Linked DNA regions of Arabidopsis thaliana. The protein of the gene in region 2 interacts with the protein of the main gene of each other region in a pairwise test. Each region holds a gene or a part of one and is shown on either strand. Other genes may lie near its edges. The genes, in order: SUC2 and AT1G16260.

Evidence for each region.
Region 1: the proteins of AT1G16260 (region 2) and SUC2 interact in a protein complementation assay, tested with the Arabidopsis thaliana proteins (one large-scale study listed by BioGRID).

Annotation. Positions count from the first base shown.
Region 1 is NC_003070.9:8,030,086-8,035,108, reverse strand, and holds SUC2 (sucrose-proton symporter 2), read left to right. Parts: upstream 1-1,952; 5' UTR 1,953-2,138; coding exon 2,139-3,395; intron 3,396-3,540; coding exon 3,541-3,604; intron 3,605-3,891; coding exon 3,892-3,935; intron 3,936-4,024; coding exon 4,025-4,198; 3' UTR 4,199-4,522; downstream 4,523-5,023. UniProt on the Arabidopsis thaliana protein: Responsible for the transport of sucrose into the cell, with the concomitant uptake of protons (symport system).
Region 2 is NC_003070.9:5,558,967-5,564,380, forward strand, and holds AT1G16260 (Wall-associated kinase family protein), read right to left. Parts: upstream 3,227-5,414; 5' UTR 3,053-3,226; coding exon 2,203-3,052; intron 2,123-2,202; coding exon 2,018-2,122; intron 1,950-2,017; coding exon 742-1,949; 3' UTR 532-741; downstream 1-531. Other genes in the region: AT1G16270 (kinase superfamily with octicosapeptide/Phox/Bem1p domain-containing protein), read left to right, coding at 4,924-5,414.

The DNA.
Region 1 (5,023 bases), 2.5 Mb from region 2:
ATTTATAAATAAAATCTGGTTTCATATTAATTTCACACACCAAGTTACTTTCTATTATTAACTGTTATAATGGACCATGAAATCATTTGCATATGAACTGCAATGATACATAATCCACTTTGTTTTGTGGGAGACATTTACCAGATTTCGGTAAATTGGTATTCCCCCTTTTATGTGATTGGTCATTGATCATTGTTAGTGGCCAGACATTTGAACTCCCGTTTTTTTGTCTATAAGAATTCGGAAACATATAGTATCCTTTGAAAACGGAGAAACAAATAACAATGTGGACAAACTAGATATAATTTCAACACAAGACTATGGGAATGATTTTACCCACTAATTATAATCCGATCACAAGGTTTCAACGAACTAGTTTTCCAGATATCAACCAAATTTACTTTGGAATTAAACTAACTTAAAACTAATTGGTTGTTCGTAAATGGTGCTTTTTTTTTTTGCGGATGTTAGTAAAGGGTTTTATGTATTTTATATTATTAGTTATCTGTTTTCAGTGTTATGTTGTCTCATCCATAAAGTTTATATGTTTTTTCTTTGCTCTATAACTTATATATATATATGAGTTTACAGTTATATTTATACATTTCAGATACTTGATCGGCATTTTTTTTGGTAAAAAATATATGCATGAAAAACTCAAGTGTTTCTTTTTTAAGGAATTTTTAAATGGTGATTATATGAATATAATCATATGTATATCCGTATATATATGTAGCCAGATAGTTAATTATTTGGGGGATATTTGAATTATTAATGTTATAATATTCTTTCTTTTGACTCGTCTGGTTAAATTAAAGAACAAAAAAAACACATACTTTTACTGTTTTAAAAGGTTAAATTAACATAATTTATTGATTACAAGTGTCAAGTCCATGACATTGCATGTAGGTTCGAGACTTCAGAGATAACGGAAGAGATCGATAATTGTGATCGTAACATCCAGATATGTATGTTTAATTTTCATTTAGATGTGGATCAGAGAAGATAAGTCAAACTGTCTTCATAATTTAAGACAACCTCTTTTAATATTTTCCCAAAACATGTTTTATGTAACTACTTTGCTTATGTGATTGCCTGAGGATACTATTATTCTCTGTCTTTATTCTCTTCACACCACATTTAAATAGTTTAAGAGCATAGAAATTAATTATTTTCAAAAAGGTGATTATATGCATGCAAAATAGCACACCATTTATGTTTATATTTTCAAATTATTTAATACATTTCAATATTTCATAAGTGTGATTTTTTTTTTTTTTGTCAATTTCATAAGTGTGATTTGTCATTTGTATTAAACAATTGTATCGCGCAGTACAAATAAACAGTGGGAGAGGTGAAAATGCAGTTATAAAACTGTCCAATAATTTACTAACACATTTAAATATCTAAAAAGAGTGTTTCAAAAAAAATTCTTTTGAAATAAGAAAAGTGATAGATATTTTTACGCTTTCGTCTGAAAATAAAACAATAATAGTTTATTAGAAAAATGTTATCACCGAAAATTATTCTAGTGCCACTCGCTCGGATCGAAATTCGAAAGTTATATTCTTTCTCTTTACCTAATATAAAAATCACAAGAAAAATCAATCCGAATATATCTATCAACATAGTATATGCCCTTACATATTGTTTCTGACTTTTCTCTATCCGAATTTCTCGCTTCATGGTTTTTTTTTAACATATTCTCATTTAATTTTCATTACTATTATATAACTAAAAGATGGAAATAAAATAAAGTGTCTTTGAGAATCGAACGTCCATATCAGTAAGATAGTTTGTGTGAAGGTAAAATCTAAAAGATTTAAGTTCCAAAAACAGAAAATAATATATTACGCTAAAAAAGAAGAAAATAATTAAATACAAAACAGAAAAAAATAATATACGACAGACACGTGTCACGAAGATACCCTACGCTATAGACACAGCTCTGTTTTCTCTTTTCTATGCCTCAAGGCTCTCTTAACTTCACTGTCTCCTCTTCGGATAATCCTATCCTTCTCTTCCTATAAATACCTCTCCACTCTTCCTCTTCCTCCACCACTACAACCACCGCAACAACCACCAAAAACCCTCTCAAAGAAATTTCTTTTTTTTCTTACTTTCTTGGTTTGTCAAATATGGTCAGCCATCCAATGGAGAAAGCTGCAAATGGTGCGTCTGCGTTGGAAACGCAGACGGGTGAGTTAGATCAGCCGGAACGGCTTCGTAAGATCATATCGGTGTCTTCCATTGCCGCCGGTGTACAGTTCGGTTGGGCTTTACAGTTATCTCTGTTGACTCCTTACGTGCAGCTACTCGGAATCCCACATAAATGGGCTTCTCTGATTTGGCTCTGTGGTCCAATCTCCGGTATGCTTGTTCAGCCTATCGTCGGTTACCACAGTGACCGTTGCACCTCAAGATTCGGCCGTCGTCGTCCCTTCATCGTCGCTGGAGCTGGTTTAGTCACCGTTGCTGTTTTCCTTATCGGTTACGCTGCCGATATAGGTCACAGCATGGGCGATCAGCTTGACAAACCGCCGAAAACGCGAGCCATAGCGATATTCGCTCTCGGGTTTTGGATTCTTGACGTGGCTAACAACACCTTACAAGGACCCTGCAGAGCTTTCTTGGCTGATTTATCAGCAGGGAACGCTAAGAAAACGCGAACCGCAAACGCGTTTTTCTCGTTTTTCATGGCGGTTGGAAACGTTTTGGGTTACGCTGCGGGATCTTACAGAAATCTCTACAAAGTTGTGCCTTTCACGATGACTGAGTCATGCGATCTCTACTGCGCAAACCTCAAAACGTGTTTTTTCCTATCCATAACGCTTCTCCTCATAGTCACTTTCGTATCTCTCTGTTACGTGAAGGAGAAGCCATGGACGCCAGAGCCAACAGCCGATGGAAAAGCCTCCAACGTTCCGTTTTTCGGAGAAATCTTCGGAGCTTTCAAGGAACTAAAAAGACCCATGTGGATGCTTCTTATAGTCACTGCACTAAACTGGATCGCTTGGTTCCCTTTCCTTCTCTTCGACACTGATTGGATGGGCCGTGAGGTGTACGGAGGAAACTCAGACGCAACCGCAACCGCAGCCTCTAAGAAGCTTTACAACGACGGAGTCAGAGCTGGTGCTTTGGGGCTTATGCTTAACGCTATTGTTCTTGGTTTCATGTCTCTTGGTGTTGAATGGATTGGTCGGAAATTGGGAGGAGCTAAAAGGCTTTGGGGTATTGTTAACTTCATCCTCGCCATTTGCTTGGCCATGACGGTTGTGGTTACGAAACAAGCTGAGAATCACCGACGAGATCACGGCGGCGCTAAAACAGGTCCACCTGGTAACGTCACAGCTGGTGCTTTAACTCTCTTCGCCATCCTCGGTATCCCCCAAGCCGTAAGTATCTCTCTCTCTGTTTTTTTTTTTGTTTATCCATTGGCTAATTATTTTAGTACTATATCTGATTTGTCGTTTATAATAAGGAAAGAAGTAAATCAATAACCTAATTTGATGAATTTTTTTTCATTTTTATTAACTGCAGATTACGTTTAGCATTCCTTTTGCACTAGCTTCCATATTTTCAACCAATTCCGGTGCCGGCCAAGGTAAATATTCTATTTTTGAGCTTTTTATTTAATCTAAAATTACCCTTTTTGTTTTGGATAATCAAAGTCGACAATCTTCTTAAAGTGTTGGGACCTAAAAAAGCTAAAAGCATTTAATACGTGCAGATTCGTAATTTAATAACTTATTGAGAAGATTCTATAAGTAACCAATATTTATATATTCGTTTGAGTGACCATATATACGCGATATACCAAATTTACAATTTCTATAGCCTACGAAAATTTGTAATCTTGATTCCTAAAGCTTTTTATCTTTTCTTCCACAGGACTTTCCCTAGGTGTTCTGAATCTAGCCATTGTCGTCCCTCAGGTAAAAACCCGTTTAAAATCAGTTTTACTTATTTTCATTTAGGAAAAATTATGACTAATATATATATTTGGTTTCTTGGTTAAATATAGATGGTAATATCTGTGGGAGGTGGACCATTCGACGAACTATTCGGTGGTGGAAACATTCCAGCATTTGTGTTAGGAGCGATTGCGGCAGCGGTAAGTGGTGTATTGGCGTTGACGGTGTTGCCTTCACCGCCTCCGGATGCTCCTGCCTTCAAAGCTACTATGGGATTTCATTGAATTTTAGCAGTGGTTGTTTGGCTCTCTTTCTCTCATAAAACAGTAGTGTTGTGCAAATCCTACATAAAGAAAAAAGAAAAGGAAATTAAACTCATTGGGTTGGTTTGTATTTTACCTAAACCCACGAAGTTCCTTTTTCTTTTTGTAACTCAATTTAAATTTGGAGTATATTTTACTTTTTGTTACCTTCAAGGCTTCAATATTACGACTTCATTGTTCGGTAATAAATACCTCATAAGCTACAAAAGATTATGTAACGATTTAACACAATTATTTTTTTAACAAACAAAAACAACGATCTAAACAGTTCATATTAACTGATTTGATAACTTATTTCACAAAAAAAGTATATGCGAAATACTTACAAAATATCTTTACATTTGATTGTACATATAAAACCAAAACAAGTTTTAAGATGAATGTGGCTAGATACAAAAATTAACGGTGAAATAAGAGCATTCTCGATTTATATGTTTTGTTTTTATCTATTTTAGTTAATTCTTTAATCAAGTTGTTTCACATTTGTTTAACCTGATTTTCCCGTTTCCAATGGATAAACTCGGATTATGAAAGTAACTTGATGTACATGTTTGGTAAGCTTATTGGTCAAAGTATGACAAGCCTTTTCCCCTAAGTATGATAAGTTTTGGGAAATTTTCAGAAAGCACACTCTTTTAAGTTTTAGTTTTTAGATGTATATAACATAACTAATAACATGTATCAAAAGAAGTTTGGAAGAGTTTCTTAATTATTTGTTAAGGTTCTTCCTATATATATATATTCTGAAAAATTCATAAATCTTCCCTAATTAAATAAAAAAGATCC
Region 2 (5,414 bases):
ATAGCCATAAACTTAGCTGTGTGTTAGTTTGCAGTTGATTATGGTTGCGTATTTTCCAATAAGGGTTTCTGACACTCTTTAAATTATTTTCCAATAATATTCATGGAATCAGTGTGTTCCTTCTCTGAGTAAGACCTTGGTCCCACTGTGAAAGTGGAAGCTTTTGCTGTAATACTCACTGCACAGACATCTGGACACTTGAGGCTAACTGGAAACCGTGAGGGTGAAAACAGTTGTTTTAAAGGGAAGTAGTTACCGAAGAAGTCAACCTATAATGCATTTATCTTCCAGGTAAAGGCTTCCACTTTTATGTGAATGAGTTCAGTTTGTCATCCTATGATATGATTACTGCAAGAAGGTTACCGGCCGTGGTCAGGCCATTACTGTCACTCATATTTGGAATTAAACTTGTACATAATAAGATTCATGTTATATCTCAGTGTATTTGAGTGTTAGTGATTGTTATGTGTTCATTTGACCTACACCAAGGTGTATCATGTGTATAGACCAAACACTTGAATGATAAATTAAGAGTGATACAAATAGTTTGCTTCTTTTTTAGTCTCGTTTTTGTCCTTGATTTGCTACATATAATTAAAGTCTTATAAATTTCGTATAGAGGAACTATTAGATGAAATTACGGAGTACAATCACACGAGCAATAAGACTTTCAAGTTTGATTGGATATCATTCTATATTGAAGTATTATATATTGGAAGGTGAAGAGTATTACTTTTCCAGTCACTGTGTCTTGTGAGGCATTAGTGGTTTTGTGTCCAATGAGAATGAGCTGTTTTCAACGACTATGTTCGGAGAAGAGTAACTAAGTGACATAGACTCCGGCATTGCGATCTGGATGTGTGCATGCTCTTCACCATTCTGTGCTTGGCTTTGAGTACCTTTTCTCTTAGATTGCATCCTATCTAGTTCAATAAATACGTCTCTCATGGTAGGGCGATGTTCTGAGTTCAAGCTCAAACACCTTCTTGCAAGTTTGGCTACTGCAAGGACCTCTTCTCGATCACATTCCTCCTTGATGCGAGCATCGAGAATTTCATGAAGTCTGTCATTTCTCATGGCTTCGAGGAAGTAAGCACCCAACATTCGGACTTCTTGCCGTCTCAGAAGGGAGACAGGTTTCTCTCCGGTTAAGAGCTCAATGAGCAAAACCCCAAAGCTGTAGACGTCACTCTTCCCTGTGAAGTGGTTTGACTGAAGGTACTCTGGGTCTACATATCCAATTGTTCCTTGTACAATTGTTGTCAAGTGAGTATCATCTATAGCAACAGATCTCGAGATTCCAAAATCTGACACTTTTGCACGGTGCTTTTCATCCAATAAGATATTTGTTGACTTGACATCTCTGTGATAAATGGGGATAGAGACGGCTGAATGCAGGTAGGAGAGGGCATCGGCGACTTCACAGGCGATGCAGAGACGGACTTCCCAACTCATTGGGAAATCCTCTGATGGGTTGTGAAGATGATCGAAAAGGTTACGGTTAGGAATGAACTCATACACCAATATAGGTACTTCTGTCTCAAGACAACATCCTAAGATCTTGACAACATTTCGGTGGTTAATCTGTGACAAAAGGATGATCTCATTGATGAATTCCTCAAGATTCTCTTCTTTCAATGCTTTGGACTTCTTGACAGCGACGATCATCCCATCTTCCAACATTCCTTTATAAACTGTACCCTGCCCGCCTTGCCCCAGTATTCTGCTCGCATTGAATCTATCTGTTGCATTCTCCAGGTCATTGGAGCTGAAAACTTTGGTTCTATTTACACTTCCGTGAAGGAAGGATGTTTGTTGCTGCAACAACAAACCTCCATTTCTTTGGAAGAACTTCCTCTTCTGCTTGGCTACTTTCCGCTTTCTATTAGCCTTGCATAGCAACCACATACCAAAGATCAGGAGCAACAATCCAGAGCTTAGAGTTCCACCTGCATTGTAAGTTGATCTTTTCACTTTCAATCTAAAAAGGCTTATGCAGAAACATTATATAACTTACTTAAAATGGCTGGCCAAGTTTTCTCACATCTATATGATCCGAGAACATTCACACACTTTCTCTTTCCACATTTATTTAGATGTGGATCTCTGCATTCATCAATGTCTACGGACACAAAAATTCCAAACTTCACATAAGGTTATATAGTACACTCAAGCCCTCTATTCAAAGAAGTTAATAGGTACCTTGGCATCCGCCAGGTATGTAGGGATTTCCTTCGTAACCATTGTGACACGAACATTGATAGCTATCTTCGAAAAATGTATTGCCTTTGCATAGTACACGCTTTGAAGTCATGTAGGAAAGATCAAGACGCCATTCTAGCTCTATTGTTGTATATTCACTGTACTCCATTAATTCGGGAGGAGTAAACAAGGACCCTGACAATGTGAATTGAGTCAAGAAGGCAACCTGACATCCTTGTTTATTTGGTTCCAGTTTCTCTACGGTTGCATCAAACACTTGAAGTTGAAGAAGAGGTGGTATAGTCATCTGGCAGCATTTGTAACCAACACAACTCGTGTTAGCTCCTTTGTAAGACCGTATCTCATTTCCACATGTCGTCTCACATCCCACGATTTGTAACCCTGTGACATTCATGAACGCCTTGTTGTTGCATCCAACAGCTGTGAACTTATTGTTTTCTGATATGAAGAATGGGCTGCCCTTCAAATTCAAAGACGATGATGAATAACCATCTCTGTTGGGACAACCTGAATGTTTCAATGGACTCTGGATGTAGAATTTGTTGTACACCGATATGGAGAAAGGGTCTCCAAGGTTGAAGGAAGTAACTGCTCGTCGGATCCTTGGCAACAAAAGTATCGGTTGTTGGTCTGATGAGCTTTTGCAGACAATCTCGAACCATTTGTTCTTGTAACAACCTTTGCCTATCCCAAAAGGGTAAGGAACACTAACATTTCCGCAATGGTCACTGCAATTACGAAGTGCAAGAGGAAAAGTAGAAGCAGCTGCGTATTCACAGATTCGCAACAGAAGCATAACAACAAGGAAACGTTTCACATCAACACCCATTTGCTCTCTCTCTCTCTCTCTTTCTTTCAGGAGCCAGAAGTTCTGTTCAGGCTCAGGCACACCTCTCTCTCTCTCTCTCTTTCTCTAACACAGATAAGTCAAGAGTCAACCTTTTCACTTTTATATTAATTTTGCATGATACATCAACGAAGACCTTGACCCATATGAATTGAGGCCATAACATATTTCAGTAGTGGGCTCCGTAGATACAGCAGAAACCACGAAAAAAGAGGATAATGTTTGTAATTAAATGTTTTAAGATATTCTTTATCAAAACAAAACGAAAAATGCCAAAGATATTCATGTTGAGCCTCTTCAAACGAAACACAAGAGTTTTTAGTTTTTACTGTGAGACGAAGTTTTTCATTAAGCAGAACGTTTTAAAATGGATATGCCGGTACTTGAGATTTTTTTCATTAAAATATAGATCACTATTTGGGTGACAATTAATGAAACAAAGGAGCCCATAGTCATGGTCCTTTAATTTCAAAATGGGCCCAAAATTAGTCATGGTCCTTTTATCCTTTAATTTAAAAATGGGCCTAAAATTCGATATCGAACCAAAATAAACATTGGGATGGTTACATTTACTTGTAGCGGTCGACAAAAAAAAAAAAAAAACATTTACTTGTAGCGGCCAAAAATCCCACAGCATATTGAAATGAAATTTCCGAAACTGAATTCAATGCAAATTGAAATGGAATCAGATTAATGGAATTCAGAAAATGACAATTCGTGTGGGGGAAAAAAAAAACATTACGTAAGGAAATATAAAGAGAGAAACTTTATAACGAAAATGAGATTGAAAGTATCCATACGCACGTTCTTCTAATTTCCATTAAATTTCATTTAGGATCTGATGATATTGAGAGTCCCATTTAATGCAAACCGTATAACATAAGCTACGGAGAGAGACTTGTTGATTCCATGCTTCTCACTTACTCCTTCACCCCCAAAATCTTATTCTTCTTTCATCTCCGCCGTCTATTTTTCATCAACATCGATAGATGTACGGTTCTCGTTTCTTCTGGTTATAAAGCAACCGAGTCGCACGGACACGAACCATTTTGTATTTTTCTTTCCATTACAATACAAAAAAAAAGAAGCAATTTGGTCATTTTTATCATTTCTTTAAGCAGATTTTACCATTTTTTGAGTAAGCAACGAGGAAACCTAGAGAAGGTGAGAGAAAATCAACAAAAATAAAGATAAAAATAAAAAGTTAGGGTTTTGATGCATATTCTTAGATTTGAACAAAGAGAAGAAGATAGTTTTTGATTGTTACTAGCTCTCACAATCCTTCTTGAATCTATTCCACCTGTCAAGCTCTACATTTTTTCTTTGTGGTATTGTTCTATCAGTTTTGGATTCTTTGCCATTTTCTGATTCTTTATTTTTTTGGTGTCTGAAGCTAATTTTAGCGATTTGGTATGGTGAAATCTTTCAAATCGAGCGAAGGTTTTGTTTTTCTTAAATTACTTCTATTGAGGTTTTTGGATTAATTGATTTAAGGTTGTTGTAGAGAAAGTTTCCATTTTTGGAACAAAAAGCATGTTTTTGGAGTTTTCTGGTCGGATTATTCATCTACAATTGCAAATGGGAAGAACTTTGATGAGTAGTCTGTGTTTAATTGATAGTTTCTGGAGGATTCAACTTCTGCCAAAACTTAATTATTTCTCCCAATTGTTTTTTTTTGCAGCTTAAATATTTGGGAGGGGAAATTTGTAGCCTACAATCTCTGAAGCAATTTGGCATCTTTAAAGTTTTAGCAGTGATTCTTTATAGTTCAGTATGTCAGATTCTTGTTACAGGTCTTGTCAGTTAGAATAATTTGAAGGACTGTTGTTGTTGTTGTTGTTGTTGTTGTTGTGATGGATAGAAACAGACCACCACATCCGTTCCAGCAACATGCTATGGAACCTGGATATGTGAATGACTCTGTCCCACAAGGATTTACGCCTGATCAAACGGGTCTCTCGAATGCAAATGTCCGACCTAATCCTGCAGATGTTAAGCCGGGGCTTCATTACTCCATACAAACAGGAGAGGAATTTTCTCTTGAGTTTCTGCGTGATCGTGTCATTTCTCAAAGGTCTGCAAATCCCATTGCAGCTGGAGATATCAATTATCCCACAGGTTATAACGGGCACGCAGGGTCTGAATTTGGTTCAGATGTTTCCAGGATGAGCATGGTGGGAAATGGCATCAGGCAGTATGAGAGAACAAACCCCCCGGTTCACGAGTTTGGAAATAAACTCGGGCATATCCATTCAGCACCAGAAGCTTCATTATGTCAAGATAGAAGTTTAGGAAATTTCCATGGATATGCATCTTCTTCAGCCTCAGGTAGTTTAACAGCAAA